7 linked regions of the Sus scrofa genome follow. The protein of the gene in region 1 interacts with the protein of each later gene in a pairwise test. Links are inferred from orthologs where the notes say so. Each region holds a gene or a part of one and is shown in the gene's direction. Other genes may lie near its edges.

Evidence for each region.
Region 2: the proteins of C6H1orf109 (region 1) and ZBED1 interact in binary tests that used the Homo sapiens proteins (3 or more experiments, as listed by UniProt). The two-hybrid records come from large-scale screens. The link is inferred for Sus scrofa from reciprocal best matches to the Homo sapiens genes AIRIM and ZBED1.
Region 3: the proteins of C6H1orf109 (region 1) and LZTS2 interact in binary tests that used the Homo sapiens proteins (3 or more experiments, as listed by UniProt). The two-hybrid records come from large-scale screens. The link is inferred for Sus scrofa from reciprocal best matches to the Homo sapiens genes AIRIM and LZTS2.
Region 4: the proteins of C6H1orf109 (region 1) and STX11 interact in binary tests that used the Homo sapiens proteins (3 or more experiments, as listed by UniProt). The two-hybrid records come from large-scale screens. The link is inferred for Sus scrofa from reciprocal best matches to the Homo sapiens genes AIRIM and STX11.
Region 5: the proteins of C6H1orf109 (region 1) and myomegalin interact in binary tests that used the Homo sapiens proteins (3 or more experiments, as listed by UniProt). The two-hybrid records come from large-scale screens. The link is inferred for Sus scrofa from reciprocal best matches to the Homo sapiens genes AIRIM and PDE4DIP.
Region 6: the proteins of C6H1orf109 (region 1) and RINT1 interact in binary tests that used the Homo sapiens proteins (3 or more experiments, as listed by UniProt). The two-hybrid records come from large-scale screens. The link is inferred for Sus scrofa from reciprocal best matches to the Homo sapiens genes AIRIM and RINT1.
Region 7: the proteins of C6H1orf109 (region 1) and PPP1R12C interact in binary tests that used the Homo sapiens proteins (3 or more experiments, as listed by UniProt). The two-hybrid records come from large-scale screens. The link is inferred for Sus scrofa from reciprocal best matches to the Homo sapiens genes AIRIM and PPP1R12C.

Annotation. Positions count from the first base shown.
Region 1 is NC_010448.4:93,747,797-93,752,023, reverse strand, and holds the start of C6H1orf109 (uncharacterized protein C1orf109 homolog), read left to right. Parts: upstream 1-1,427; 5' UTR 1,428-1,727; intron 1,728-1,902; 5' UTR 1,903-1,905; coding exon 1,906-2,180; intron 2,181-4,227. Other genes in the region: CDCA8 (borealin), read right to left, coding at 639-767, 906-1,002. UniProt on the Homo sapiens protein: Part of the 55LCC heterohexameric ATPase complex which is chromatin-associated and promotes replisome proteostasis to maintain replication fork progression and genome stability.
Region 2 is NW_018085344.1:633,006-637,177, reverse strand, and holds the start of ZBED1 (zinc finger BED domain-containing protein 1), read left to right. Parts: upstream 1-1,372; 5' UTR 1,373-1,446; coding exon of another isoform or gene 1,447-1,555; intron 1,556-1,783; exon of another isoform or gene 1,784-2,001; intron 2,002-4,172. Other genes in the region: dehydrogenase/reductase SDR family member on chromosome X, read left to right, coding at 1,447-1,555.
Region 3 is NC_010456.5:112,081,211-112,084,710, forward strand, and holds part of LZTS2 (leucine zipper putative tumor suppressor 2), read left to right. Parts: intron 1-8; exon of another isoform or gene 9-148; intron 149-296; exon of another isoform or gene 297-1,879; intron 1,880-2,655; 5' UTR 2,656-2,697; coding exon 2,698-3,105; intron 3,106-3,500. UniProt on the Homo sapiens protein: Negative regulator of katanin-mediated microtubule severing and release from the centrosome. Required for central spindle formation and the completion of cytokinesis.
Region 4 is NC_010443.5:21,127,371-21,129,846, reverse strand, and holds the end of STX11 (syntaxin-11), read left to right. Parts: coding exon 1-835; 3' UTR 836-1,976; downstream 1,977-2,476. UniProt on the Homo sapiens protein: SNARE that acts to regulate protein transport between late endosomes and the trans-Golgi network.
Region 5 is NC_010446.5:100,650,619-100,654,118, reverse strand, and holds part of myomegalin, read left to right. Parts: intron 1-1,042; coding exon 1,043-1,159; intron 1,160-1,729; coding exon 1,730-1,962; intron 1,963-2,819; coding exon 2,820-2,963; intron 2,964-3,500. UniProt on the Homo sapiens protein: Functions as an anchor sequestering components of the cAMP-dependent pathway to Golgi and/or centrosomes.
Region 6 is NC_010451.4:105,391,638-105,395,652, forward strand, and holds the start of RINT1 (RAD50-interacting protein 1), read left to right. Parts: upstream 1-1,215; 5' UTR 1,216-1,372; coding exon 1,373-1,414; intron 1,415-1,732; coding exon 1,733-1,778; intron 1,779-4,015. UniProt on the Homo sapiens protein: Involved in regulation of membrane traffic between the Golgi and the endoplasmic reticulum (ER); the function is proposed to depend on its association in the NRZ complex which is believed to play a role in SNARE assembly at the ER.
Region 7 is NC_010448.4:59,344,375-59,348,556, reverse strand, and holds the start of PPP1R12C (protein phosphatase 1 regulatory subunit 12C), read left to right. Parts: upstream 1-1,382; 5' UTR 1,383-1,492; coding exon 1,493-1,813; intron 1,814-4,182. UniProt on the Homo sapiens protein: Regulates myosin phosphatase activity.

The DNA of each region.
Region 1 (4,227 bases):
TTCAACCTACACCACAGCTCATGGCAACACCAATCCTTAACCCACTGAGTGGGGCCAGGGATCCAAACTGCATCCTCATGGATACTAGTCAGATTCGTTACCACTGAGCCACAGTGGGAACTCCCTGATCTGCCCATTTTAAAACTGGCAATTTCCATAAGCAGAAGGACCTGCTTGGGGTTATCCTTCCACCTGAGCTCTGGTAACAGACCAAGTTATTCATTTGTTTGTTTTTAAATGGTTGGATCAAAAAAAAAAAATCTTATAATGTGAATCCACATTTTAGTATGTCCATAAATACATGTTTATTGGAATACAGCTGTGCCCATTCATTACAGCTGTTTCGGAACTATCACAGCAGAGATGAGTAGTTTTCAATGAGAACCATTTGGCCCATAAAGCCTAAAATATTTACTACCCGATTCTGTAGAGAAAATGTTTGTTTGCCTACCTGCACAAGTAGATGAGGTTAAAAGCAAAGGAGAAAAATAAAGCAAGGCAGTGAGACAGAGTGGGGATGGGTAAGGTTGCAGTTTCCTACAGGGATCTTGGACGACTTCAGGATGAAGATGAAGGCTGTCATTGGAACCACAGAAGGGCTCCAGGTCGAGGCCTGGGGAAACTCTAGCAGCTCTTACCGAAGTACTCGAGCCAGTTCATCTCGCGCAGTGCCTTGGGGAGTCGCAGGATCTCGATGTTGTACAGGTTATCCATCTCCTTGAGGAGGTTCTGCCTGTCTGACTGAATTTGCTTGGATCGTATTTGCACTGCAAGAGGGCAGAGCGGACAAGACGTGGGTCACCAGTGGGCAAACGGGGCCTGGAATCCGTGCGGCCTGCGCCCCAACCCGCCAGCACCCCGCGATTGTCCCAGATGCCAGCGACCTCCCGGGCTCCGCCCCTTACCTTCACGGTCGAAGTCTTTAAGAAAGGAAGCGAGCTTTCGGCTCCGTAGCGAGTTGTTCTTGGCCACCCGACTGCCGCCTTTCCTAGCCGGAGCCATGGCACTTCGCTGGAGACTGCGGGGAGAGAGGGGCCAAGCCAAAGGGTGTCAGCGGCGGAGAAAGGGAGGGAAAGGGGGCCGCGAAGGAGCAGGAGAGGGCGGAGGACACCCCAGGGGGGTTGGAAGGGGACCCCTGCCCTTCCCGGCATGAGCATAAACGATTCGCGAGGCACTCACCTGTGGGCCCCGGTAATAGGGGCTGAGAAAACCCTGGCTGCTTCAGCTGAGAGGGAGCGGCTCCGGGACTAACCGGACGTGCGACCGCCGCCACCAAATTCAAACTGCCACAAGCTGACCAATGAGAAGCCGCCGTCTTAGAGGGTCCCACAACAGCCAATCGCAGGGACGCTCTGCGATCGGCCAGTCAATTCACACGCAGGACTACAGCACCCAGAAGTCATTGCAGTTTGACGGCATATTTTCGCGACTCTGTAGCCACGTTGGGGCATGCGCAAAGAGAGTCCCTAAGGCTCTTGAGGGCCTAGAGAGGTCCTCAGACTTTAACTGCCTTAGCTTTAACTTTTGCCGCTGGTTTAGGGAAGGCGAGCCGTAACTTCATGGAGAGGAGACAAGGTTCGGGTTCAGGAAACTCGAGACGGCCCGGGAAACCCACAGTCTGAAACAGAAAACTACCCGAAGCCGGATGAGCCTCCTGCGAGGAATAGTCAAGAAATCTTTCCCGAGGTGGGAAATAAGGGTCCTGCCTTCCGAGAGCCTGTGTAAAGGTAAGACAACCCCTCACTCTAGAAACTCCCGTCGGGAGGGATAGACAGCTACCTGAGGAAACCCTGGGTTAGCTGGACCTCACTTGAGAACGGAAATAACTCCTACCGACTTGGTACTTCCCCTACCGACTTGGGACTCTAGGGCTGTGTCTTTTTTTTTTTTTTCCTCCCACAGAAGATGACTCAAGTTGGGCCTTTGCTTGCCGTGCAGGAGGCCCTAAGGAAGTGCTTTCTCGTGGTGGAGGAGCAGCAAGGCCTGTGGCAGAGCGTTCTTAAGGACTGCCCGCCGCTCCTGGCCTCCCTCAGTAACCTGGCAGAGCAGCTGCAGGCCGCACAAAATCTGCGATTTGAAGATGTGCCGGCACTTCGGGCCTTCCCAGACTTACAGGAGCGGCTGAGACGCAAGCAGCTGGCGGCTGGTGACATTGTCCTGGACAAGCTAGAGGAGAGGCTGTAAGAGGTTTAGTGGCTCTGTTCTTGGTGGAAAGATTTTAAAGCTAGGTGTTTAGAAAACTAGGATCAGTTAGAAGGATGTTTTTCTCCTTACTTGAGAGCTTTGTATTTGGGGATGTGTCAACCTTACGTGCTTTTCATCTGTTGCAATGGGACCTCTGTCAAAAAGCCACTTTCTGACATTTCTTTTGTCAGGCTAGGGGTGGCAATGGTGGACTTCGTAAAAGTTACCAAAGCAGAACAGAAAAACAGTGGAGAAAGCTTATTAGCCCTCCTCTGTAAGTTTTTCTTTGGTAAAAAGCAGCAAAGAGCTGTACTATAAACTTAGTGGGTGCCAGAGCTGAGGGTTTTACGTCCATTATCCGTAAAATCTTTTCTGCACCTCTATGACTTAACCTCACTTAATCTCATTTTTCCGGTGAGGCAGCTGAGGCCCAAGCAGATTGCCTGTGGTCCTGCAATTAGTAAATGGTAAAGCTGGGATTCTCATCCAAGTGTATCTGACACCAAGGCCGGAGCTCTTAACCACTACTTTGTTCTGCTGTACATTGGTGTGTCTGTGCCAGGAGTGGTACCCCTCTAAGCTCTCGTTATGCCTAGTGTTAGACTCTCTGGCTTCGAGTTATAGGTAATTGAGGATAGAGGAGAGACAGGGAACTTATGGCCTTTCCTTGACCAGGACAAAAGAAGGTTCTAGTGTATAGAGTCTGTGCTGTTAACTAATAGGAGACTGTCAAAGATGAGTGCCTTCTTGGTATTCATTTGTTTAAAAAAAATTTTATTAACAGCCTATAGGAGAGTTCCTGTTGTGACTCAGTGGATTAAGGACCCAGTGTTGTCTCTGTGAGGATGTGAGTTCAATCCCTGGCCTCACTCGGGGGGTTAAGGATCCAGCATTGCTGTAAGATGCAGTGTCGGTCACAGATGCAGCTGGTGTTGCCATGGCTTTGGCATAGGCCTCAGCTGCAGCTTTGATTTGACCTCCGGCCCAGGAACTTCCACATGCCACAGGTGCGGCTGTAAAGAGAGAGAAAAAAAAAAAAAAAAAGTAAAGAAAAGAAACCTATGGGGAGTTCCCGTCGTGGCGCAGTGGTTAATGAATCCGACTAGGAACCATGGGGTTGCGGGTTCAGTCCCTGCCCTTGCTCAGTGGGTTAATGATCCGGCGTTGCCGTGAGCTGTGGTATAGGTTGCAGACGGCTCGGATCCGGCGTTGCTGTGGCTCTGGCGTAGGCTGGTGGCTACGGCTCCGATTAGACCCCTAGCCTGGGAATCTCCATATGCCGCGGAAGTGGCCCAAGAAATAGAAAAAAAAAAAAAAAAAGAAAGAAACCTATGGGATGCCAAGCACAGGGTGCTGGGTCTACAATAAACCAGACTTAAGTTCTTTGGTTGATTAAAAGAGATAGACAGTCAATTAAGTTTTGTCATGGTACATTCTAATATAGTGACCTTTTATTTCAATTGATTACATATTTGTATGTGGGTATGGACTGTTATTTTAAATCTTTTTTTTTTTTTTTTTTTTTTTGACCGCACCCACGGCATGAAAAAGTTCCTGGGCCAGGGATCAAACTCAAGCCATAGCAGTAACCAGAGCCACAGCAGAGACATCACTGAACCACCAGGAAACCCCTATTTTAAGTGTTTTTAAGTCGTGAGTCACAGTCAAACATTTTTGAAAGCTGCAGTTCTAGGCTAGGGAATGCCTTGCCCTTTGGGAAGTTGTAGCTTTCTTCTTGGTGGCTGGGCCCCTTGGAGTCACCAGTGGAATAATAACAAAATTTACTATAAGCCAGGCACTTCCCTAAGCACTTACATTACTGCATTTAATCTTCGCAGCAGTCTTTTTCATTCATTCATAGGACAAGTGTTTGTCGTTCTCTGTGCCAGTCCGGATATTCTAGGCGCTTATGATGAATAGTGAACAAAAGAGACTGTATTCATGATTGAGAATAAGTAGCTTTTCTAAGATCCCCAGTTGTCTGTGTGCATCAAGAGCCCAGACTTGGCCCATTTGCTGGGTTTGGGGTGAGAGGTGACATTA
Region 2 (4,172 bases), on another chromosome or scaffold:
GCCCCAGTAGGGACCAGGAGTCCTGGCCACAGTGGGGTTCTGCTGGGGTAGGGGAGGCGGGCTGTGAGGGATCCCACTGTCCCCACAGGTTCCAAGTCTATGTGGGGCTAGGCAGTCTGGGTGGGAGTCCATGGTCTAAAGAGTGGGTTTGGGGTCCAGGGTGGGTCTTGGGGTCACGAGGGTGGGGTGGGCCCAAGGCAGGAGTTAGGGGGCTGGGTTGGGTTGATGTCAGGGTAGGGTCTCTGGCGCAGGGGTGGCCTGCAGTCCCGGTGGGGTCCCTGGACCAGGGGTCTGTAGTCCCAGGGTGGATCTGAGTGATGGTCCTGGGGTCTGTGCGGGGGCTCAAGGTGAGGGCGGGGCTTCCCTGGGTCTCCTGTCAGCACAGGGGCACATGATCTGGGTGGGGGGGGTCCATAGTTCTGTGTCCTGGGGTCCAGGAGGGGGAACCCTGGGGTCTGGGGTCAGGTGGGATCCCAGGATCCAGGCAGGAGTCATGGTCCGGGCTGGGTCCTTGGGTCTGGTGGGGCACTGACAGACAAGCAGGGGTCCCTGGGGTCTGCAGTTTAGGTGGGGGTCTGGGAAGGGGGTCTCTGGGGTCCATGGTCCTGGAGGGGGTCTGGGGTCCCGGGTCAGGCAGAGTTGGAGGGGGGTTCCCTGGCATCCACAGTTTGGGTGAGGGTCTGGGGGGATCCCTGGGGGTCTGTGGTCCTAGTGGGGGTCTGGGGTCCCGGGTCAGCCAGGGTTCAGGTTCAGAGCAGGACCCCCTGGGGTCCGCAGTTTGGATGGGGTTCCGGGGTCGGGAGTGGAGGTGGGGGATCCCTGGGGTCCGTGGTCCTGGAGGGGGCTCTGGGGGGGGTCTCTGGGGTCTGGGGTCCTGGTCAGCCGGGCTCCAGGGTCTGAGCGGGGGCTCCTGTGGTCCTCAGTTTGGGTGGGGGTCGGGGGTCTGGGGGGGGTCCCTGGGGTCCATGATCCTGGAGGGAGTCTGGGGGTCCCGGGTCAGGCGGGGTCAGGGGTCAGAGCGGGCGTCCCTGGGGTCCGCAGTTTGGGTGGGGGTCGGGAGGCTGGGGTCCCAGGGGTCTGTGGTCCTGGTGGGGGTCTGGGGTCCCGGTCAGGGAAGCTACGGGGTCCGAGCGGGGGCTCCTGGGGTCCTCGGTTTGGGTGGGGGTCTGGGGTCTGGGGGGGGTCCCTGGGGTCCATGATCCTGGAGGGAGTCTGGGGGTCCCGGGTCAGGCGGGGTCAGGGGTCAGAGCGGGCGTCCTTGGGGTCTGCAGTTTGGGTGGGGGGCCGGGGTCGCGGGTCAGGCGGGGGCGGGGGTCGGCGCGGGGCCGGCGGGCTGGCGGGCGGGCGCGCGGGCGCGGGGGGCGGGCCGCTGCGGGCGCGTTTCCGCCGTCCGGCCGGGCGAGCGCCGAGTCCCGCGGGCGGCGCGGAAGCGGCGGCCGGGCAGCCATGTCGCCTTTGTCTGCGGCGCGGGCGGCCCTGCGGGTCTACGCGGCGGGCGCGGCGGTGATCCTGGCGCAGCTGCTGCGCCGCTGCCGCGGGGGCTTCGCGGAGCCAGGTCAGCGGCCGGGGGCGGGCGGGCGGGGTCGGGGCGCGGGGCCGGCGGGTGGCTCGCGGCGGCGGCGGCGGCGGCGATGGCGGCGGCGGCTCCGGGCCCGGGCGGTGCGTCCCCCGCGGGGCGCAGCCCCCGAGGCGGGGGCAGAGCGGGGGAGGGGCGCGCCCGGGCCCCGCGTGCCCTTGACCGCGGCCTGGGCCCGTGCGCGGCGCCGGGCGCTCCCGGAAGCAGGGCCGGGCGGCCGCGGGGGTGGAGGGCGGGTCGCCCCGCCCGCCGCTCCTCCCCGCGCGCCCGAGGCCGGGGTCTCCCTGCGGTGTCGCGCGCCCCGACCCACCCAGCCGGGCCGGGCCAGGGTCCTCGGGGTCCCCAGGGTCCCGCGCGCCTGCCCCGCAGCTCCCCGCCCGGAGGGAGGAGGGCGCGCCGAGAGCCCGGCCTCCGCGCAGGGTCAGGTAGGACGGGCTCCGGGGGGCGTGCGGGGCCCGGGGGGGCCTCGGGGGCAGGGCCCTTCGCTTCAGGGGCACCTTGCTTCTGCGGCCTTAGCGACCTGCGCCCGCGGCGTCTGCGACCCCGAACTTTCCGGTGTCGGGACCGGTTCGCGCTCCGAGCGCTGCTGGGGGGCCCGCGAGGCGCTGTGTGGCCGGGGCCGCGTCGGCTCCCGTTGGCGCGCCTGGGACTTCAGCCGCAGACCCGGAGCGTTCCTGTCTGCCCTGATTTGCAAAGGAAGCAGGATAACGCCAGGCTCTGCGAGCATACGTGGCTTTTTATTTTTAGATGAACAGTAACTCCTTCCCAAACAGAGGGGTCGGTGGGGAGTGCGGTGCTGTGTTACTTTGTGGCCGCCTTTGGCGTGTGGCCTAAGGTGAGAAATCCTCGGAGGTCCGCTTCTGTTTCCACGCGGTTGGCACCGCCCGCCGCCTGTCTCTGGCACACACCCCTGGGCACCCCTGAGAGACTGGGGTGCAAACAGGCCAAGTGCATCTGACTGTGGCTGTGAAAAATACTTTAAATCCCTCCACCGCCCCACGCATGGGGGTGCCTGCGGCCCCACTTTGCAAACCTGCAGCTCTGCGCCCCACAGATAATTTTTTTTGGCGCCCCACCCTCCCCGTGGGGTGGAGACTTAGGGAACTCTTCCAGGTGTGCATGTGACAGAAGCGTTTCGTTTTACTGTCAACCTGATTTCTCATTCTTTCTTTCTTTTTTTTTAAACGCTTTGAGAGCGATTAGAATGGAATAGAGCGAGTCCCCGCTGTGGCGCATCGGGATTGTGGCGTCTCACGGGGAGGCAGGTTCGATCCCCAGCCTGGCACAGTGGGTTAAGGGGTCTGGCGCTGCTGCAGCTTTGGCCGTGGTCCCCGAGATCGGATCCCCGGCCTCCATATGCTGCCGGGTGGCCAAAAAAAAGAAAAAGGTATTTATTTTGGAGTTCCTGTTCTGGCTTAGCAGGTTCATTGCTGGAGGTTTCAGATATTTCTGTGAGAATCGGGTTCCATCTCTGGCACAGCTCAGTGGGTTAAGGATCCGACGTGGCCCTGAGCTGCAGCTGCAGCTCGGATCCGAGCCATAGCCTGGGAATGTCCATAGGCTGCCGGTGCAGTAGTAAAAAGAAAAACACACTTGAATTGAGAGTAAGGAGCCAGCCAGTACCTGGGGTTTGGGGCGGGGGCGGGGGGATGGGGGGTACAGGCAGAGGACACCTTTTAAATCAGGCCTGGCCTGTAAATAGTAAACAACGTTGGAAAGCTGTCCCAAGTGGCCCCCATTGACCCAAAGGGTGGCACCCCCCCGCCCCACGGGACAAGGTAGGCGGCTGGCTGTGCAGCTTTGCTCCCCCTGCGTGCCTCGCGCCCCTTCGGGGCAGGCTCTTCACCTGCTCAGGGACCTGGCAAGTGGAGGGTGGAATTGGAGCTTGCCACACCCCATTCCCCAGAAGGCCCGTCTCAAAAACGTGTTTGTGGTGCATCCAAACCAGGCCTTGCCTTGTTGTTTCCACCTGTTGATTTAGAAAAAGAGCAGAAAAGCCTGTAACCGGACCCACTGGGGACCAAGCGGTGTGTGGGCGGAGTGAAGCCTTCCTCCTGCTGGAGCAGAGGGTCAGCTCCGTTTAAGAGGAACTGGACGAGCTCTGCAAGCCACGTGGTCTGTTGGGTTAGAAATCCTTGCAGAGCTGGGGGGAGCCAGGCACGTGTGTCCTGAGTGTCTGGTGGTGGCCCTTGTCCCACATGTCACAGTCCTTCTGCTTTTTGACCTTTTTTTTTTTGCTAACTGGACGTAACTTTTGGCAAGGAGACATTGAACGTTGCCCCAGGTGGAGCTGAGCAGTAGCAGGCCCAGTCCACATGAAGCATAGCTGGGGGTTGTTTGGTTTTGTTTTAAACCTCAGAGGTTTTCTGGAGTTCCTCTTGTGGCTCGGTGGGTTAAGACTCCGACTAGGATCCATGAGGACGCGGGTTCTGTCCCTGGCCTCGATCTGTGGGTTAAGGATCCGGCGTTGCCACGAGCTGTGGGGTAGGTCACAGGTGCTGCTCGGATCTGGTGTGGCTGCGGCGAAGGGGCCGACAGCTGTAGCTCCCGTTCAACCCCTAGCCCTGGGACTTCCATATGCTGCAGGTGCGGCTCT
Region 3 (3,500 bases), on another chromosome or scaffold:
GCCGGGCCGGGCCGGGGGCGCTGCGGAGGCGGGGCCGGGCCGGGCCGGGCCGGGCCGCTCCGAGTGGGGCGCGCGGGCTGAAGCCAGGCGGCGCGCCTGTGGAGCGCTGGGGGCGGCCCGGGGCTGAGCATGGAGCAGCGCGGCGGAGGTGAGGGGGCGCCGGGGCTGGGAGGCGGCCTGGGGGCGCCCCCAACTTCTCCTCGGCGGAGGTCCCGTGGGGAGGCGGCATTCCACAGCTGCCCCCACTTTATGGAAGCGGCGGGGGATGGTGGGGGGTGGACTCCGGGGGATGGGTGGGGGGGCTCCCGGCTTCCTGTCTCTCGGAATGGGAACTCGTGATCCCAGACTTGATCCCGCTGGATGGTCCTTGGAGTTTGGTGAGGGGGAGACTTTCCCCAACTCTTCTGCCCCCAAAACAGGTCCGTGGGATCTCGGACCTTGGCCAGACCTCCCTCGGGCCCCAGCTGGACCCAGCCCTCAGCCGCCCCCAGCCCACTGAGCGGGGGAGCGTGTGCTGTCCGGGTTTTTCAAGGATGTTGCGGAGAGCGAGGGGTTTTCTTCCCACAGCCACAAACGCATTTCTCAAAATGGAGCCTCCACTTGCCCCTCCTTCTCTCTCGGGCTCCAAGAGCGGGAGCCTGGCTGGCTGGGCCTGGCTTTCCAGACGCCTGGCGCTGGCTCGCTGGGTGTCTGGATCTCAGGGCCCAGACTGATGTCTCTTCTGGTTGAGGGGCCCCTGGCTCACTGGATCCGCCTGACCCTGGGGCCGCTTTCAGTCTTTGTCTCCCGTCTTCGGAGTCTCTGTCTCCTCCCCTCAGTTTCCACTTTTTCTGTGCTCACTGAAAAGTAGGAAAACGCAGAGGTGCCAGTCCCCCTAGCCCCCTAAAAAGCCCCTTCCCCGCTGTTGTCTCCATGCTCTGGAGTGGCCTGGGAGAGCGCAGAGGGCGTGTTCCACCGACTTTGCTCAGGGCTGGCACTTGTGGGGTGGACTCAGCCCCTACCCCTGCTCCCTGGACACCAGTCACCCCGACCCCAGTTCCGCTCCTCCTCAGTCGGGACACCTCCCCAGTTCTCTAGGGCTTTTGACTTTAGTGGGGAGGTTGCGGGGCGGGAGGGGGGGGACCTTAATGGAACACAAGCGGGAATGAAGGAGAGCAGATCAAGCAAAGGATAACGTCTCTCCTCTCCCTACACTCCAGCAAGTGACAAAAACCAGGCTCCCACTCACCCATTTGGCCCTGCATGCCACCCAGGCGTGCGCTCTCTCTCTCTCTCTCTCATGCTCCCATGCACACACATTGCTCTGTATGCACACTCTGTACACACTTGTGCACCCTCAGGTACACATACTCATGTATATATGAATGGACATCTCTCCAAACATCTCTCATAGTCACACTCATGTACCACAAATTCACTTATTATGTATGCATTTGTAACTTTCATGTACTTTCTGAGAGAGATACATTATTTTGCAAACATTCTTTTAAGATCTGCACGTATGAGTGCACATAGATACTCACGTGTGCCTGAACGTACCGTTGCATCTGTCCAAACATATATGTGTACTCACACACACTCACTCATGTTTTCACACACAGTGCTCATTTTCATGCTCTCGTGCACAGTTTCACACGCACAAATAAGTAAATGCACACACTCCTACTCCTACGCAATTCTCTGTCCACATCTTGGCCCCTGCTCTGCATGATGACTTCAGCAGATGCCTGAGTCCTGGTGTTCAGCCTCCGGACTAGGGAGGGAGTTCCGGGCGGAGACTTGCTGTCCTCTTCCAGGAAGGAGCAGGGGCTGGGGAGGTGGAGCCCTCTTCCCTGGGCTCCAGGGAAGTGAGAACTTGGAGCAGCTGCCAGAGGTGATGGTAGGGCTTCTCTCTTATCTCCTCAGGGTTACCCGGGGAATGTCTGAAGCCGGAAGGTTTCATAGAGGTTGGCAATGGGCCTGCGTGGGCTTCTGTAGGCCCCACTGATTGGGTGTGGCAAGGCTGGGAGTTGTCATGGAAACAAGCATGAACCTGCATCCACCTCTGGGAGGCAGGAGACCCCAGAGGGCACCTGTGGGCTCCCTAAGAGCTCTGGGTTCTCGTTTGGCCAGCTCCACCCTTCCCGCCTCTCTGTCTGGGAGAAGCTGAGGCCTAGCTGGGGGAGGCTGGGCACTGCCTGGCCTTGGCTTTTTGTACCCTAATTACCGTCTGAGTTGCTGACTGTACCCCTGAGAGGTTGTCCACCTCTAATGAGGCCACCTGCCCCAAGAGACCAGGGGCCTGTGCTAGGAGCTGGTAGAGAGGGCGCCCTCCCTCACTTGAGTCCTGACCTCTGTGGGGGATGCTGTTTGGGGCTGGGGCCTGGGCCTCTGCTACCAAGGGCCCTGTGTAACCACCAGGCCTCCCATCCCCTCCTCATCCCTGCTCCGTCTATTCAGGCCTCAGCTCTGTTCAGACCAGGGCTGGGCAGTGGTCTGGGGCCCAGGGAGAATTGAGGTTCCATCCCTTGATCAGAGGAGTAGCCCTGGGGGGTTTCAGTGCTTGCTTACCGGTGCCAGCGGGCTGTTTGACCTCCGAAGGACCAGGAGGGACTCGGCCTTATTTAGGGAGGAGCTCAAACTGGAGAGACTCTGATACCACTGCCCTGCTCACAGGTTTCCCTGGAGGCCCTTGGCCAGGCCTGAGCCTCTGCCGCCATGGCCATTGTGCAGACGTTGCCGGTGCCACTGGAGCCCGCTCCTGAGGCCGCCACTGCCCCACAAGCTCCAGCCATGGGCAGCGTGAGCAGCCTCATCTCAGGCCGGCCCTGCCCCGGGGGGCCGGCTCCTCCCCGCCACCATGGTCCCCCTGGACCCACCTTCTTCCGCCAGCAGGATGGGCTGCTGAGGGGTGGCTATGAGGCCCAGGAACCACTGTGCCCAGCTGTGCCCCCCAGGAAGGCTGTCCCTGGCACCAACTTTACCTACATCAATGAGGACTTCCGGACAGAGTCACCCCCCAGCCCAAGCAGTGACATTGAAGATGCCCGAGAGCAGCGGGCACGAAATGCCCATCTCCGTGGCCCCCCACCAAAGCTCATCCCTGTCTCTGGAAAGCTGGAGAAGGTGAGGACCAGCCCGTCCTTTGGGGCCTGGGTGGAATCAGGGGTCTCTTGGAAAAGCTGAGGTTTGGAGGCCTATTTAGAGGAAGGAGCGTGGGCTCCAGATTCACCAGATCTGGGTTCTCGTGTCAGCTCTGCCTCATTTTGGTTGTATGACCTCTGGAAAGTCGCTTAACCTTTCTGACCCCCAGTTTTCACATCTGTAAAATGGAGGTAATAAGTCAACTCATAGGATTGTTGCGAGAATTAAATAACATGTGTAAACTGTTTAGCCTACTGCCTGGCACTTAATATGTACTCAATAGCTGCTCAGAAATACTTTATGACACGACAGCTGTTTGTTTGAGCACTGCCCATAATTCTGCTGAGCCTCCATTTCCTCATCTGTAGTATGGGAAG
Region 4 (2,476 bases), on another chromosome or scaffold:
GTTAACCAAGCACTATGACCAGCAGTTCCCAGAAAAGGACGATGACTTTGACTCACCTCACGAGGACATCGTGTTTGAGACGGACCACATCCTGGAATCCTTGTACCGAGACATCCAGGAGCTTCAGGATGAAAACCAGCAGCTGTTTACTGACGTGAAGCGGCTGGGAAAGCAGAACGCCCGCTTCCTCACGTCCATGCGGCGTCTCAGCAGCATCAAGCGTGACACCAACTCGATTGCCAAGGACATCAAGGCCCGGGGTGAGAGCATCCACCGCAAGCTGAGCGCCATGAAGGCGCTGAGCGAGGAGGCGCAGGCAAAGCACGGTGAGCACTCGGCTGTGGCGCGCATCGCGCAGGCGCAGTACAGCGCGCTCGCCCGCACCTTCCAGGCTGCCATGCACGAGTACAACCAGGCCGAGATGAAGCAGCGCGAAAACTGTAAGATCCGCATCCAGCGCCAGCTGGAGATCATGGGCAAGGATGTCTCGAGCAACCAGATAGAGGACATGTTCGAACAAGGCAAATGGGACGTGTTCTCCGAGAACCTGCTGGCTGATGTGAAGGGCGCGCGGGCGGCCCTCAATGAGATCGAGAACCGCCACCGCGAGATGCTGCGGCTGGAGAGCCGCATCCGCGACCTGCATGACCTCTTCCTGCAGATGGCCATGCTGGTGGAGCAGCAGGCTGACACCTTGGACGTCATCGAGTTCAACGTGCAGAAGACCCTTGACTACACCGGCCAGGCCAAGGTGCAGGTGCGCAAGGCGGTGCAGTACAAAAAGAAGAATCCCTGCCGGACCATCTGCTGCTTCTGCTGCCCCTGCCTGAACTAGCAGGCCTGCAACACCTGATCCCAGACCTGAAAGGGCTAGTAAGCACCCTGGGAAAGATGTTGAGGCCATTTGCACTGGGATGAGTTGCTCTAATGCCTATGGACCTCGCTCTTTAGAGAAAGAAAACACTCAAGGTCCAAGAATTCCAGCCCAGCTCGAACTTGGAAAGAGGGTACATGTCACCCCATTGTTTCTTCAGTAAGGACAGATACCTCCTGAAATTTTGTGAGATCATTATATGGCACATAAACACCCTCGCCTCTTAACGGAAGCCAAATGAGGAACTGACATTGTAGTGTACTCTACGGTAAATGTCCAAGGCACGTTTGCTCATGAACCTCTAGGAGGAAGTCAAATTGTGCATCAGCCCATTGTGTAAGGACTGGTTATTAAAACTTCAATTCATTTACCCTGTCCTGAAAGTACCTTGGTTCTATTCATTTTCGAGTGAAATTGACCTTGGGAAAAACTGCACATCTTCCTTTTCTTACTCTTTATCTGGTTTATGCTATGTGATTCCCACATGGATGTGTATCTTCTTTCTGCTCACCTCCTCTACTTGTTTAAATCACAAGTATCACTGTTTCCTCAACTCTTTATATTCTATCAGAATATATTTGGAGATTTTTTTCCAAATGTTTTTAAGCACTGAGTATTGAACAAGCACTCAAATTAAAGTTTGTATGTCACATTATATATATTTTTCATAAATAAAAATAATTTAAAATTTCTTTTTACTTGATTTTTACAAATGCATATATATATAAATGTAAAGTACAAATATTTACTAATGCATGTACATAATACCAATTGGTTTAACTTTACTTTTGTAAATATGGTATATAAATATCCAGGAAAATATTTTTACTGGTTATTAGTGTTGATTTGCTTGTTTCATCTGCATCTCAGTAGTCCAGTTTGGGTCAAAACTTGGTTTTGAACATCTCTGTCTTGGTTATGGTGATAAAGACAGATAAAATTCTGAAAATGCATACAAAACTAGAGATAATAAAAATGGTCTTAAAAGTAATTACTTTTGTTTTACTGTGGCCCATTCCTTTCATGCATTCAAATGTGGTAATTTAAAATAAAAGAATCCTGTTTTTCAAGTTAGTGGAATAAACACATTATAAACATCCTTTTTTATGCATTTGTGTCTTGACCATTTAAATCTTAGTCTACTTTTTCAATTATTGTCTACTAGCTGCCTGAGGTTGCAACATCTGGATGAAACTCTGAATAGAGGGGGGAAATGAAAATTAATTCACATGGGGGTGTGTTGCTTTCTCTCCTGAGTTATTTACAATAGTTTAACAAAATCATCCTGTTTTGGAGATCTGGTTTTGTTTGCAAACTTTGTAATGCCCTGACTCACATTTACCATGTTTTCTGTCTTTAAGTCAACTCTTAACTCTTTCCACTCGCTATTTAATAAACGAGAGTTTATTCAATGGTCGTTATTCCCAGAGTTTTCAGACAGTGAAACTTTAATAGAAATAGAAAGAAGAGTATGTGAACTCTTTGGAACTCACTGACTAGCCTGCTTATGACTGTGAAATCTAGCCCTGCTCCTAATTTTAATTTCATGGTTAAATATGAGAATTGTGGAAACCAAGTCCCACTAGGCTTTTCTCAGATTTC
Region 5 (3,500 bases), on another chromosome or scaffold:
TTAGTTGTGATTTGGTGTTTTTTTGAGAGGAGGCAAGCTCAAGTTCTTTGACTCTGTCATCTTCTCTCCTCTCCCTAATGTCTATTCCTTATGTGTGCAGGGTACTTTAACATTCACCACGTTTTCAAGTGCTTTTTCAAATAATTTCATCAGAGATAGGACAGGTTTTATTGCCTCTGTATTTCACATGAGAAAACTTCAGCATTGAGACAATTAAAAGACATTCTAAGTTTCCTGGAGTTAGAGGCCAACCCAGAATTCAAAGCAGAAGTTTTGATTTCCAGTCTCTGTTCCTTCCACCTCACTATGCTCTGTCTCAGTACTGCTCATCTTTCCTCTAACCAGGCTTTCCCTTCTGACTGCCTCCCCACGACACCAGCCAGGACTCAGCCCCATTGGCCCAGTCACTCCTCCTTCTCCTCCAGCATAGAGACCTGAGCTGGAAAGCAGGCTCTAAGCCACATTTGCTTGACCAGGATTATTTCAGTCTCCTGGTGGGATTTTCCAATTCCTCCCTGGAGGTTTGCTGCCTGGGCTCCAGTAGGGCATCTCAAACTTACCAGGGCTTCTATCTCCTATTCTTCTCATACTACTCTATATTTCACTCATCAAAATGGAGATTAGAGTGCTGAGTTTAATCACACATAAACCCATTCATTCTTTGATGAAATATTTATATATATATATATATATATACATAGTGTATATATCTAGGTATATTTCTATTTAGTTATAAAGCATGGTAAAAGACATACCACATACAAAATTATATTCAAATCTGGGGTTAGAAAAACATACCTAATCATTTTTCAAACTGGAAGTCACTTTCTCATGGAACACCCTTCAATTATAGGAACATCTTACTTTTGCAAAATAAGTGATTTATTTGCCATTGGTTTTGACTGTGGGTACATGGATGACGATTAGGTAAGAAGAGCGTCATGTTACCTTAGATTTCCAATGGCAAAGCCTAAGCTGTGCATGCATTTGGGGAGCAGCATTTTCCAGGGTTCCTAAAGCTGTGATTATCTTTACTTGCTAGATTCAGTTGCCTCCCCTCCAGTTCGGGATGTGGGCATGAATTCTCCAGCTCTGGTCTTCCCCAGCTCTTCTTCTGCTCCTCCTGGCTCAGAGACCACAACCTTCAATAGGACAAATGGTAAACAGCACAACTACAGGGCTCAGGGTCTAGTGATGATGGAAAGTTATTGATGCAACTAATAGTTGGTTCTCTATATGTACATTATCTGAATTTAGAGAGATTTTTTCTGCATGTCCCAAGGCCCTTAGCCCTACTTATTGCACCTTCTGTGGCTGCCTTTTTTTGTCATTTTTCTTTCTCCTATGGCTTTCCTATTGCTCTGGTACTGCCTCATTGCACTATAATCTCTGCCTTCTTAAAAGTGCTCTCTATCCAACTTAATTTCCTTGTCTGTGTCTTCTCAACCCCCAAATTTAAAAGTTTTTATTAATTATATCTGCCCTGAATACTTTATTGGTCGATAAGGATAAAAGCTGCCTCCTGGCAGTCTATCATCATGAGGTGATATAAGAAAGATTATAGAATATAAAACCCAGAGTACCTATGGACTTCACACTTGTGCTTTCCAAGACTGTCAAGATTTCTTGTTTCTGGCCTCTCTCACTACTTGATGTCCTTTTTGGATTGAACTGAGAATATGCTTATGAATAACAGTGGATTCTGTTGTGTTGTGGTATTATTCCTCAGAGCTGGGTTTGGATGCTTCTCCAGTGAAGAAGAACCCTCACCCTCCCAAGCTGGAAGGTGATGCTACTGACGGCTGCTTTGCCAATAAGCATGGCCGCCATGTCATTGGACACATTGATGACTACAGTGCCCTAAGACAGCAGATTGAGGAGAGCAGACTGCTGGTCAAGAAGATAGCATCTCTCATGAGATCAACCTGCAACTTTCCTGGCCTTGAAGCTCCAGGCCCAGAGGTAATCATATCATAGCTCTCAGGTGCACCTTTTTCCTCAGGGCCTTTCTTCTTCTGATTTTAGCTCCTTCTCCTGCTATTTCTTTTCATGCTCCAGATCTGAAGCCAGCTCCAATCTTCCATTTTCATCTGCTAAGTTCACTATAAGCTCTGCTCTGTTCTATATGTAGCTGACTTGATATATCCCCCTCAGAACCACAGAAAAGCTTTTACAGCACTGCCATCCTCATTGCCATCCTCATCAGTAGAGCATGTTAAGTGTCAACATACATGTGGTGCTGTACTGAGTACCTTTTATTTGCTTATTATCTACTGAAGCCATGCTTGCACATGACCATCTGTAGGCAGAAAAGAAAAAAAAAATATGTCAGTTGGCTAGGAATTGAGAATTTGAATCCATATGGGCAGGCGTGATATCGGACGTGCTGTGGGAGTGACAGCATGAACCCAGAGTCAGCTGTTATCCCAAGCAGGGAAAGTAACAGGTCCACAGGGGGTGCATAAGTTCTTTGGGGAGTAGAAATACCAGACAAAGGGAGTGGCACCTCAGTCCTACAAGCAGTGCAGCTCATCTGATGCATAAGCTGTGATTTAGGGAAGGGCAAGATGGGGCCAGTGCAAAAACTAAGGACCTCAGATTCTAAAGCACAAAGCAGGGCTAGAAGTTAAAGAGTATGGGGGAAGCTGGAATCAAATGAATTCCTGCCATAGGGTGTTCCTGCTGAGATCAGAATTTCACAGGGTCAAGTAGACCACGTCTGCGCCTCACTCACAAAAGAAGCTGAGGCTTATGCTCAGGAAAAAAGAAGTGATTTCTCAGCCCCAGGGATACCCATGGCTACCTCCCCCTTTTCCCAGGAGATGGGCAGCAAAGGTGTCCATGAGCTCCTGAGCAGCACCAACACTCTGCACCAGCGGCTGGAGGAGTCGACCTCCCTCCTCACCATGTTCTGGCGAGCAGCCTTGCCAAGCTCCCAAGGCCCTGCACTGGCTGGCAAAGTGGTAAGAAACCAGCATCGTCTACAGGTCCTGCCCCCAGATATCCTTCTGCCTCCTTGGTCTGCACATCCTGAAGTTTGGGAGCCAAATGGTCAGTTGGGACAGAGGGAGCTGATGGGAGTGTCCCTGGAGGGAGACTTCCCCATGATGGCCGATTTCAGTCTATCTCTGACTGTATCTCTTCGCCTCCCACCCACAACCCCTCAAACAAGTAATCAAAGAGAAAAAGGAAAAGATATGGAATAGGCAGACATGAGAGCCCGGGTAACCCATAAACCTTTGGTTTCTTCACTTTTCCAAAGTTTAGCTGAGCTGAAGTTCTTGGCCATGTTGAAACATCAATACTTCCTTTCCCATCCCCACCTTACCCCCAGGTCCACATAGTCAGGCAGGATCACAGAATGTCACCAGAAGTCAACTGGCCTCTTTTAGCCACCCACTGGAATCCCAGAAAAATCACTTAAATCAGCTTCTCTGGGTCAGTCCTAGGGAGAGTCCGCCTCCCCCAGGGGCTTTCATATCTCAGGCTGGCTCTCTGGT
Region 6 (4,015 bases), on another chromosome or scaffold:
GTGGTGTAGGCCAGTGGCTATAGCTCCATTTTGATCCTAGCCTGGGAACCTCCATATGCCTTAGGCGCAGCCCTAAAAGACAAAAAAATAAAATAAGGAGTGCCTGTCATGGCTCAGTGGTTAAGGAACCCGACTAGTACCCATGAGAACGGGATTTGATCCCTGGCCTTGCTCAGTGACTTAAGGATCCGGGTTGCCGTGAGCTGTGGTGTAGGTCACAGATGTGGCTTGGATCCCGTGTTGCTATGGCTGTGGCGTAGGCCAGCGGCTACAGCTTCGATTGGACCCCTAGCCTGGGAACCACCATATGCTGTGGGTGTGGCCCGAAAAAGACAAAATAAAAATAAAATAAAATAAAATAGTAGACTGTTGGAGTTCCCTGGTTGCTCAGTGGGATAAGGATCCGGCCTTGTCACTGCTGTGGCTCCGGTTACTGCTATGGTGAGTTCAATCCCTAGCCGGGGAATTACCGTTATTGTGGCCAAAAAGTAAAAACAAAATAGTAGCTCGTGATTGTTTTATAGTCGCAGTGGCGTCATATCTCAGGACATAAATAAATAAATACAATGTTCTCATTGAATCGGTTCTGTTTTCTCTAAGGGTTGCTTTTTCTCCCTTTCTCTGTTAGTTTTAGTCTCAATGGTACCACTTTACATGTTTATTTTTGAAGTTGTCGCATCCCTGAATTCTCTACCTATATCATGCTGCCAGTCCTGGTCCTCCTCCCTGGCAAAGTACAGACTTTGATCTGAAGTATATATTAGATGCTGAGTCCTTTCCCTCTGTTCTGCTCCCAGAATGTTTACAATCAGATCTGCACCCTTCAGGTAGGAAGTTGAAGTGTAACTTGTAGTTAAATCTGATTAGCTTTAAAAGAATGATCCAAAGATACTGACATTGGAAATTATGCGATTAAACCACCCAACCAAATTACATTACTACTTGTCAACAAGCTCCCTCACACTCTCAGAACATCTGGGATATCCTCTAAAATATAAGTTGAAATGATTCATAATGAATTTACAGTGTGGAAGGAAGGATACTTTGAATCTCCATCATTAATGTTTCCAAAGCAGTGAAGGAGGTTTTACTTAGAATGACAAGGACTGCCTTTGCTCGCCCCCTTTTCTTCTTCCAGAGCGTCCGATCCGGATCCAAGCCGGCAGGGGGCGCCACCGCGCAAGACCGGCAACTGCGCGAGAAGGGCCTCTCTGGAAAGAAAGGAAGAAACCAGAGAGACGGCAGAGGAAGTTGCCGTGGCGTCCAACGCTAAGGTCTCGAAAGGTTCAGCCGCTGTCTAGCCGCTGGCCGGAGCCAGGGTCCACTGACCACGCTGGCTGCACATGGAACCGAGGACTCGCGCGGAGGCAGGATGCTCCCGGCCAGCGAGATCGGCGAAGCGCCAGCAACCCCGGTGAGGGGGCCCTAGTGGCCGCGGGAGGGGACACTGGTGGCCCAGTGAGGTGGCATAGACCTCTCAGGAGAGGTAATCCCAATGCAGTGGCTGTGGCGATACCGATGAGATGACACAGATCTTTCTGGGGAGGTGGCTGTGGTGGCCTCAAGGAGCTAGCCCTTTTTGGAACCTGCATCAGATCGCACCTCAGGAAGTCTCCAGGGGGGAGGGGTCTGGAACCTTGGGGTCCTCCCGTGGATGCCCTCTGGGAACCCTGTATGAATTTCACTTATTGCTTCAGTCTTAATGTGTTTGTCACACCTGCTCTCCTTCTAGTGCTGTTCTGAAAATGGTGACCAAAGGAAGGATGTCAAGGACAAAAGTAAGCAGACTCCGAACGCCTTTGCACTTTCCACTCAGCATTTCTCCAAAATTCAGTCCTGCAGGGTCTACATCCAAGAAGGATGGTACCTTGTTATTTTTTAGATGAAGCACCTTTTTTTTTTTTTTTATTTCCGTAGAGTATCCTTTCCTAGTATTAAATACTGATTATTATCATACATATATTTTTGGCTTTCAGGATTGTACAATATGGGATGATTTGGAGAAGAAGGCTTCCTGACTCCTACCTAGTGCAGGAACTGGTGGAGTCTCACTCAATACTGGACTTAAATTAGTTGGGAACTGCCTGTTATTGCAATGAAGCATCAACTTAATAAGCATCACGAGTTAGAACGGGCTGATGATCTAGGAGAGATAACCTCCACCTGTGTTGGGTTTAAAGGAGTCAAATGATAACTTTTCCTATTGGCTTGCCTTTAATTAGACTTAGCCCATATGCTTTTACAAGTGGAATCAATCAGAGGACAAGCGTGTAGGGGAATAATTTTTCAGTACTTGCCTTGTAAACTCAAATTCTTCTTTGAGGGAGGTCTTTGGTGGCCTAGATCTCTGGTTAGGACTCAGTGCTTTCACTGCTGCAGCCCAGGTTTGATCCCTGGTCTGGGAACTGAGATCCCACATCAGGCTGCTGCACTTGGCAGCCCCCCAGGCCCAAAAGAATCTGGTAGTAAAATTAAAAACAAATTGTTTGGAGTAAATCAAGCATTTACTGTTCACAGGGTTTTTTGTGAGTTGCAAAATATTTTTCCCAGTATCCCCCCATTCATTCTCTGTTACCACCATCAGACAGAAAGGGTGAGGACACTTTTTTCTTGCCTCTGTAGGGGATACCTTAGCAGCAGATGGTAACTGCTCCAGGCCTGTCAAATAGATGCCTTCAAATGATAATTAGTTATACTCTATCTTCAGTGAATTAGCACATAAAAGTTGATTTGGGAAGGGCACAACAGACAACTTGGTTCCTGGTTCTTGAACTGAACCCAGAAGAAGGAAAGATCATTATTTCCATTTCCTACCTAAGATAAAAGCATATATATGCCAGGGATGTAGACATGTGCCATTTTATTTTAATGAGCTAGGCATGGCACACTGGTGGAAATCAAGGAATATTCAGGGGCCTTTGGAGGGAAATTTACTGGGAGAGGAAGAGGGAAGCATGTAACAGCTGTTTCATCAGAGTGTTTTGGTTCTTCTGGCCGTGGCACATAGCCTGGGAATGAATAGTAATAGAAAGGGTGCCTAAGTTACCATATTAGTTTTAGGGGTTAGACCTGCCCTTAACATTGCCTCCTGCTACAGTCTGCCTCAGAAAGAAAGCTTTAACTACTTCATAGTGCTTGCCAGTCACAGCTGCCACAACTCAGCTCCTTTTCCTTAAAGGATTTGAGAGTACCTCCTGTACCTCTCTCAATTAAACACTTTCTTTTTCTTTTTTTTTTTTTTTTTGTCTTTTTGCTATTTCTTTGGGCCGCTCCCTCGGCATATGGAGGTTCCCAGGCTAGGGGTCTAATCAGAGCTGCAGCCACCGGCCTACGCCAGAGCCACAGCAACTCGGGATCCGAGCCGCGTGTGCAACCTACACCACAGCTCACGGCAACGCCGGATCGTTAACCCACTGAGCAAGGCCAGGGACCGAACCCGCAACCTCATGGTTCCTAGTCGGATTCGTTAACCACTGCGCCACGATGGGAACTCCCAACACTTTATTTTTCTACCTTTGCCCCACTCATATGTTTGGGAAGTTGATGCCATTAAGCTGTGGACTTTGTCCTTGACCTTCCTTTGGTGGCTTGGTCAACTTCTTTGCAATTAGAAGTGCTCCTTACAAAAAACAGGAAAAGAGACATCACCCCTACGCCATCAGCAGTGTGTCATTTTGAAGAATGTCATTTGACTAAGACTGTACTATGCTACATTTAAATGGTTAAATCAAAAGAATATAATTTTTACTTTTTTATTTTTTAAAGTATAGTGCCACTTTCTGTCTTACAGGAAAATGACCCAGTTATACATTCCTATACAGTAGGACCTTATTTCTTTTCCATTCTAAGTGTAACAGTTTGCATCTACTAACCCAAAACTCCCAGTCTATCCCACTCCCTCCCTCTCCTCCTTGGCAAGCACAAGTCTGTTCTCTATGGTCTGTGAGTCTGTTTCTGTTCTGTGTATAGGTTCATTTGTGCCATTTTTTGGGGGGGGGGCTGTTGAAAAAGAGCT
Region 7 (4,182 bases), about 34 Mb from region 1:
CTCGCCTGTGTCTGCATTTCAGCACTTTTCTTTGCGATTTTTAGGGGTCTTTGTTCGGGTCTCAAAGTGCGTACCTCTTTCCCAATGAGGATTCAGGTGCAAGGTACTTAAGACGGGGATAGTTTTCTTTTTTCTTTTTTCTTTTCCTTTTGCTCTTTAGGTCCCCACCTTCAGCATATGTAAGTTCCCAGGCTAGGGGTTGAATGGGAGCTGCTGGCCTACCCCACAGCCATAACAACTCAGGGTCCGAGCTGCGTCTGCGACCTGCACCACAGCTCACGGCAACGCCGGATCCTCAATCCACTGAGCAAGGCCTGGAATCGAACACGCAAGCTAAGGTTCATTTCTTGCTTTATGGTGCTACGTACTAGCCCGCCACATCAACTAGAACGCCTCATCTGGACTACAAATCCCAGCATTGCTTGCGAGGATATAGAGCCCGGCCTACACTTCCCAGCGTGCTCCACGCCTCAGGGTGATTGCAATGGCAGAGAGGGCCAGTTTAAGGCTCTGCGGGCATTTTCATTTGTGGATCCTACCTCGCAGGTTCCCTTCCCGATGTGATCCAGGGGTTACTCGGGGACTCTGGACTTATCTTGCCCTCGAATCTTATTTCTTGGGGTGTTTGGGGGCTCTGCCTAGGACTACATTTCCCAGCGCGACCAGCGGCCCATTGTCATGACCTTTGTACCGCATACATAATTTCCCAGCATGCCCTGGGCGGTCACCCAGGAAGGCTTGCAATTTTCTTGATGATCCAAGGGTTGCGGACTCAATTTCCCATAGTATCCTGGTGTTTCCCACGACCTAGAGAATCCGTTCTCTCATTCATTCATTCATTCAAAAAACTATTTCCGATCGCGTTCTACTAGGTACTGGGAACAAGGAAAGCACACAACACAAAAATCCCGGTCTTCCTGGGGCTTATTTCTTGTTGAAGGGCGCGACAAACCCAAAGTAAATAAAGTACATGACATGAAAAAGGGGAAAACGGAAAACTTCTGTACTTTTCGGGTTGTCGAGTCCATTTCCTAGTAGGTCCCCGGGGGCCAGCCCTTCGTCACCTGGATGCTGCGAACGGCATTTCCTGCATGCCCTGGGGCCGACCTCCCGCCTGTAGACTCCACTTCCCAGCACGCCAATCAGATTTCCTTTTGACACCGCGGAGCTGCGAATTTCCCAGTGTGCCTCGGGGCGGGACTATTGCAGAGATCCATTTCCGTTTATGGACTCCACTTCCCAGAGTTCCCCGCGGTCCGCCCTCAGGCGGTTGCCGGTTGCCTCTCCAGCCTGTGGACTCCATTTCCCAGCGGGCCCCGAGTCGGCGTGGTGACGTCACGTGCCGGGCGGGGACCGGTAGATCCTCTGGCGGCGCGGGGCGGGACGCAATTCCCGGCGGCCCGGAGGAGGGCGGGCGTCGGCGACGCCTCGGAGCTGGTCGCTCGCTCGCTCGCTCGCTCGCTTCTTACCTGGCGGGCGAGCGGGCGGCGCGATGTCGGGCGAGGATGGCCCAGGGGCGGGCCCGGGGGCGGCGGCGGCGGCAGCCCGTGAGCGGCGGCGGGAGCAGTTGCGGCAGTGGGGGGCGCGGGCAGGCGCCGAGCCGGGCCCCGGGGAACGGCGCGCCCGTACCGTGCGCTTCGAGCGCGCCGCCGAGTTTCTGGCGGCCTGCGCGGGTGGCGACCTGGACGAGGCGCGCTTGATGCTGCGCGCGGCCGACCCCGACCCTGACGCCGAGCTGGACCCCTCCGCCCCGCCGCCAGCCCGCGCCGTGCTCGACTCCACCAACGCCGACGGCATCAGCGCCCTGCACCAGGTCAGCGCCCCCGCCCGGGCTCCGATCCGCCCTGGGTCTGCGCTGCCTCGAGCACCCTCCCTCCCAGTCCAGAGTCACCCTTGCCAGTCGTGGTCTGCACCGTCGATGCTGCCCCGGTCCTTTATCATCCCGTGCTGAGTCCTTTTCCCATCCCACCCACCTGGAGCTCCCCTCTTCCAGTCCTGAGCCACTTGAACTGGCCTGGTTTTTGCCATCCTGCGCTGCCCTCTCTCCGGACTCGAGCCACTGCTGAGGGCCTCAGGCCAGTCCATCCTCGTCTTGTCTCTTTCGCCCTGCTCTTTCCCCACCTTGAGCGCTCTTAACCAGCCTGGCCCGTGCCACCTCTACTCTGCCATCGAATGCTGCCCCACTTTCTCGAGTCCGCCACTTCTCCCAGCTTCACCGGTACCCACTGTTTCCCCTAGTCCAGGCAGGTACCACTTTCCCTGAGCGTCCTCCTCCTCTCTTCTGGGCCTGTGCTGCTTCTTTTCCCGCTCTCTGGCCTGGGCCGTTTCTTCGGCCAGCCCCCGAGCCTTCCATGCCCTTTCCTTCAGGTTTCTGCTCTTCATCCTTGGTCTCTGCCATCTGTTGCCATGTAAGGGTGCTCTTTCCTGAGCCATCGCCCTCAAGGCGCTCTGCTCCTCAAGTGGATGCTTCCCTCGCCTGGCTCACCTCCTGCTCTCTCTCCTGCCCCCTTCACCTGCGTGCCCTCCTCATTCTCCCTCTGTGCCACCTCTGGCCTTGCACTGTAGGCTCTCTCTTGGGGATGTTTCTCTTTCTCCACACACTTCTCTTTCACTCTGTCCTCTTGCTTTGTGTGGGCCTGCAGCGTTACCCTTTTTTCTGGGCACACTCAGAGCACCCTCCTCTTTCTGGTTCTGGGCCACCTGTCTGTCCTCGGGTCATCTTGCTCTCTCTGCCTGGATGCCCTCCTGTGGCTTTGGGCAGCTTCTCCCTCCTTCAGAGTGCACCGCCAGTTCTCCTAGGCCCGGTCACTTCCCCTTCCCAGGGGACCTAGAGCCCTGCTAGGTCCTCTCTCTCCACAACCTGGGCCCCCAAACCTTTCCAAAACACCTTGCTTTCTGCCTCCATTGGTCTTGTGTTCCAGAGCCAGAGTCACTATATGTCCCAGAACCAGGATTCCCTCTGGTTCTGAGGGCTTTTATCGCATCCCCTGCCTGGCTGCAGTGGGTCTTTGGGGACAGGCCACAGAAGAGCCTCTACTCCTCCCTCTGTCCCCGAGGCTGTCTCCCTCCCAGTCTTCCCAGCTCAGGCCAGTCCCCAGGCCTCTCTTCCCTGCCAGAGCCCGTCAGGTTCGGTTACTTTGGGGCCCAGAGAGGACCCTGTGAAGGAAGCGTGGGTAGGGGCACGGGAATGGGGAGGATGCCTGAAGAGGCCCCCTTAGCCAGAAGAGGAGCAGAAGAGGAGCAGGTACCCAGAAGAGGAGCAGTTCAGGGAAATAGAAGAGTCCCGAGCTCTTTTTTTTTTTTTTTTTTATTTCTTTTCTTTTCTTTTCTTTTTATGGCAGCATCCGTGGTATATGGAGGTTCCCAGCCTAGGGGTCAGATCATACCTGCAACTGCCAGCCTACACCACAGCCACAGCACTCAGGATCCGAGCTGCATCTGCGGCTTACGCCACAGGTCACAGCAACGCTGGATCCTTAACCCACTGAATGAGGCCAGGGATTGAACCTGCAACCTCATGCACACTATGCTGGGGTCTTAATCGGCTGAGCCACAACAGGAACTCTCTAGTCCTTAGTTCTTTTTTTCAGTTTTTTGTCTTTTTAGGGCCACACCTGCGGCATATGGAGGTTCCCAGGCTAGGGGTCTAATCAGAGCTGTTGCTGTCGGCCTACACCACAGCCACAGCAATGCCAGATCTGAGCTGAGTCTGCGACTTACACCACAACTCATGGCAATGCCGGGTCCTTAACCTACTGAGTGAGGCTGGGGATCAAACCCGCAACCTTGGGAACCCCTAGTCCTTTGTTCTGATCTCAGCTCCTCAGCTCTTTTGTGGCCTTGAAATAGTGCCTTTTCTCTCTGTGCCTCAGGTTTCTTAGCTGTTAGCAGGGCCAGTAGCCAGGCTCTCCCTGGTGGGGCTCTGGCACATCCTTCAGCAAGTGCCATAGGCATTCAGTTGGGGAGTTGCAGCCCCTGGTCTAAGGGGCCCCCCCCATTCCCCCGCCCCCGGCCTGTCCCCTACAGAGGCCCTAGTGCTATCTGGGACATTTTTTTTCCATCTAAAGGAGCAGCCCACTTCCTGAGGAGCTGCACGGTCTCAGAGCTTGGCAAGCCCAGGAAAGGAGCCTCAGGCTTTGGTGTCCCCTTTCCTCCGCCACCACCCCTGCCCCTCGCTCCCCT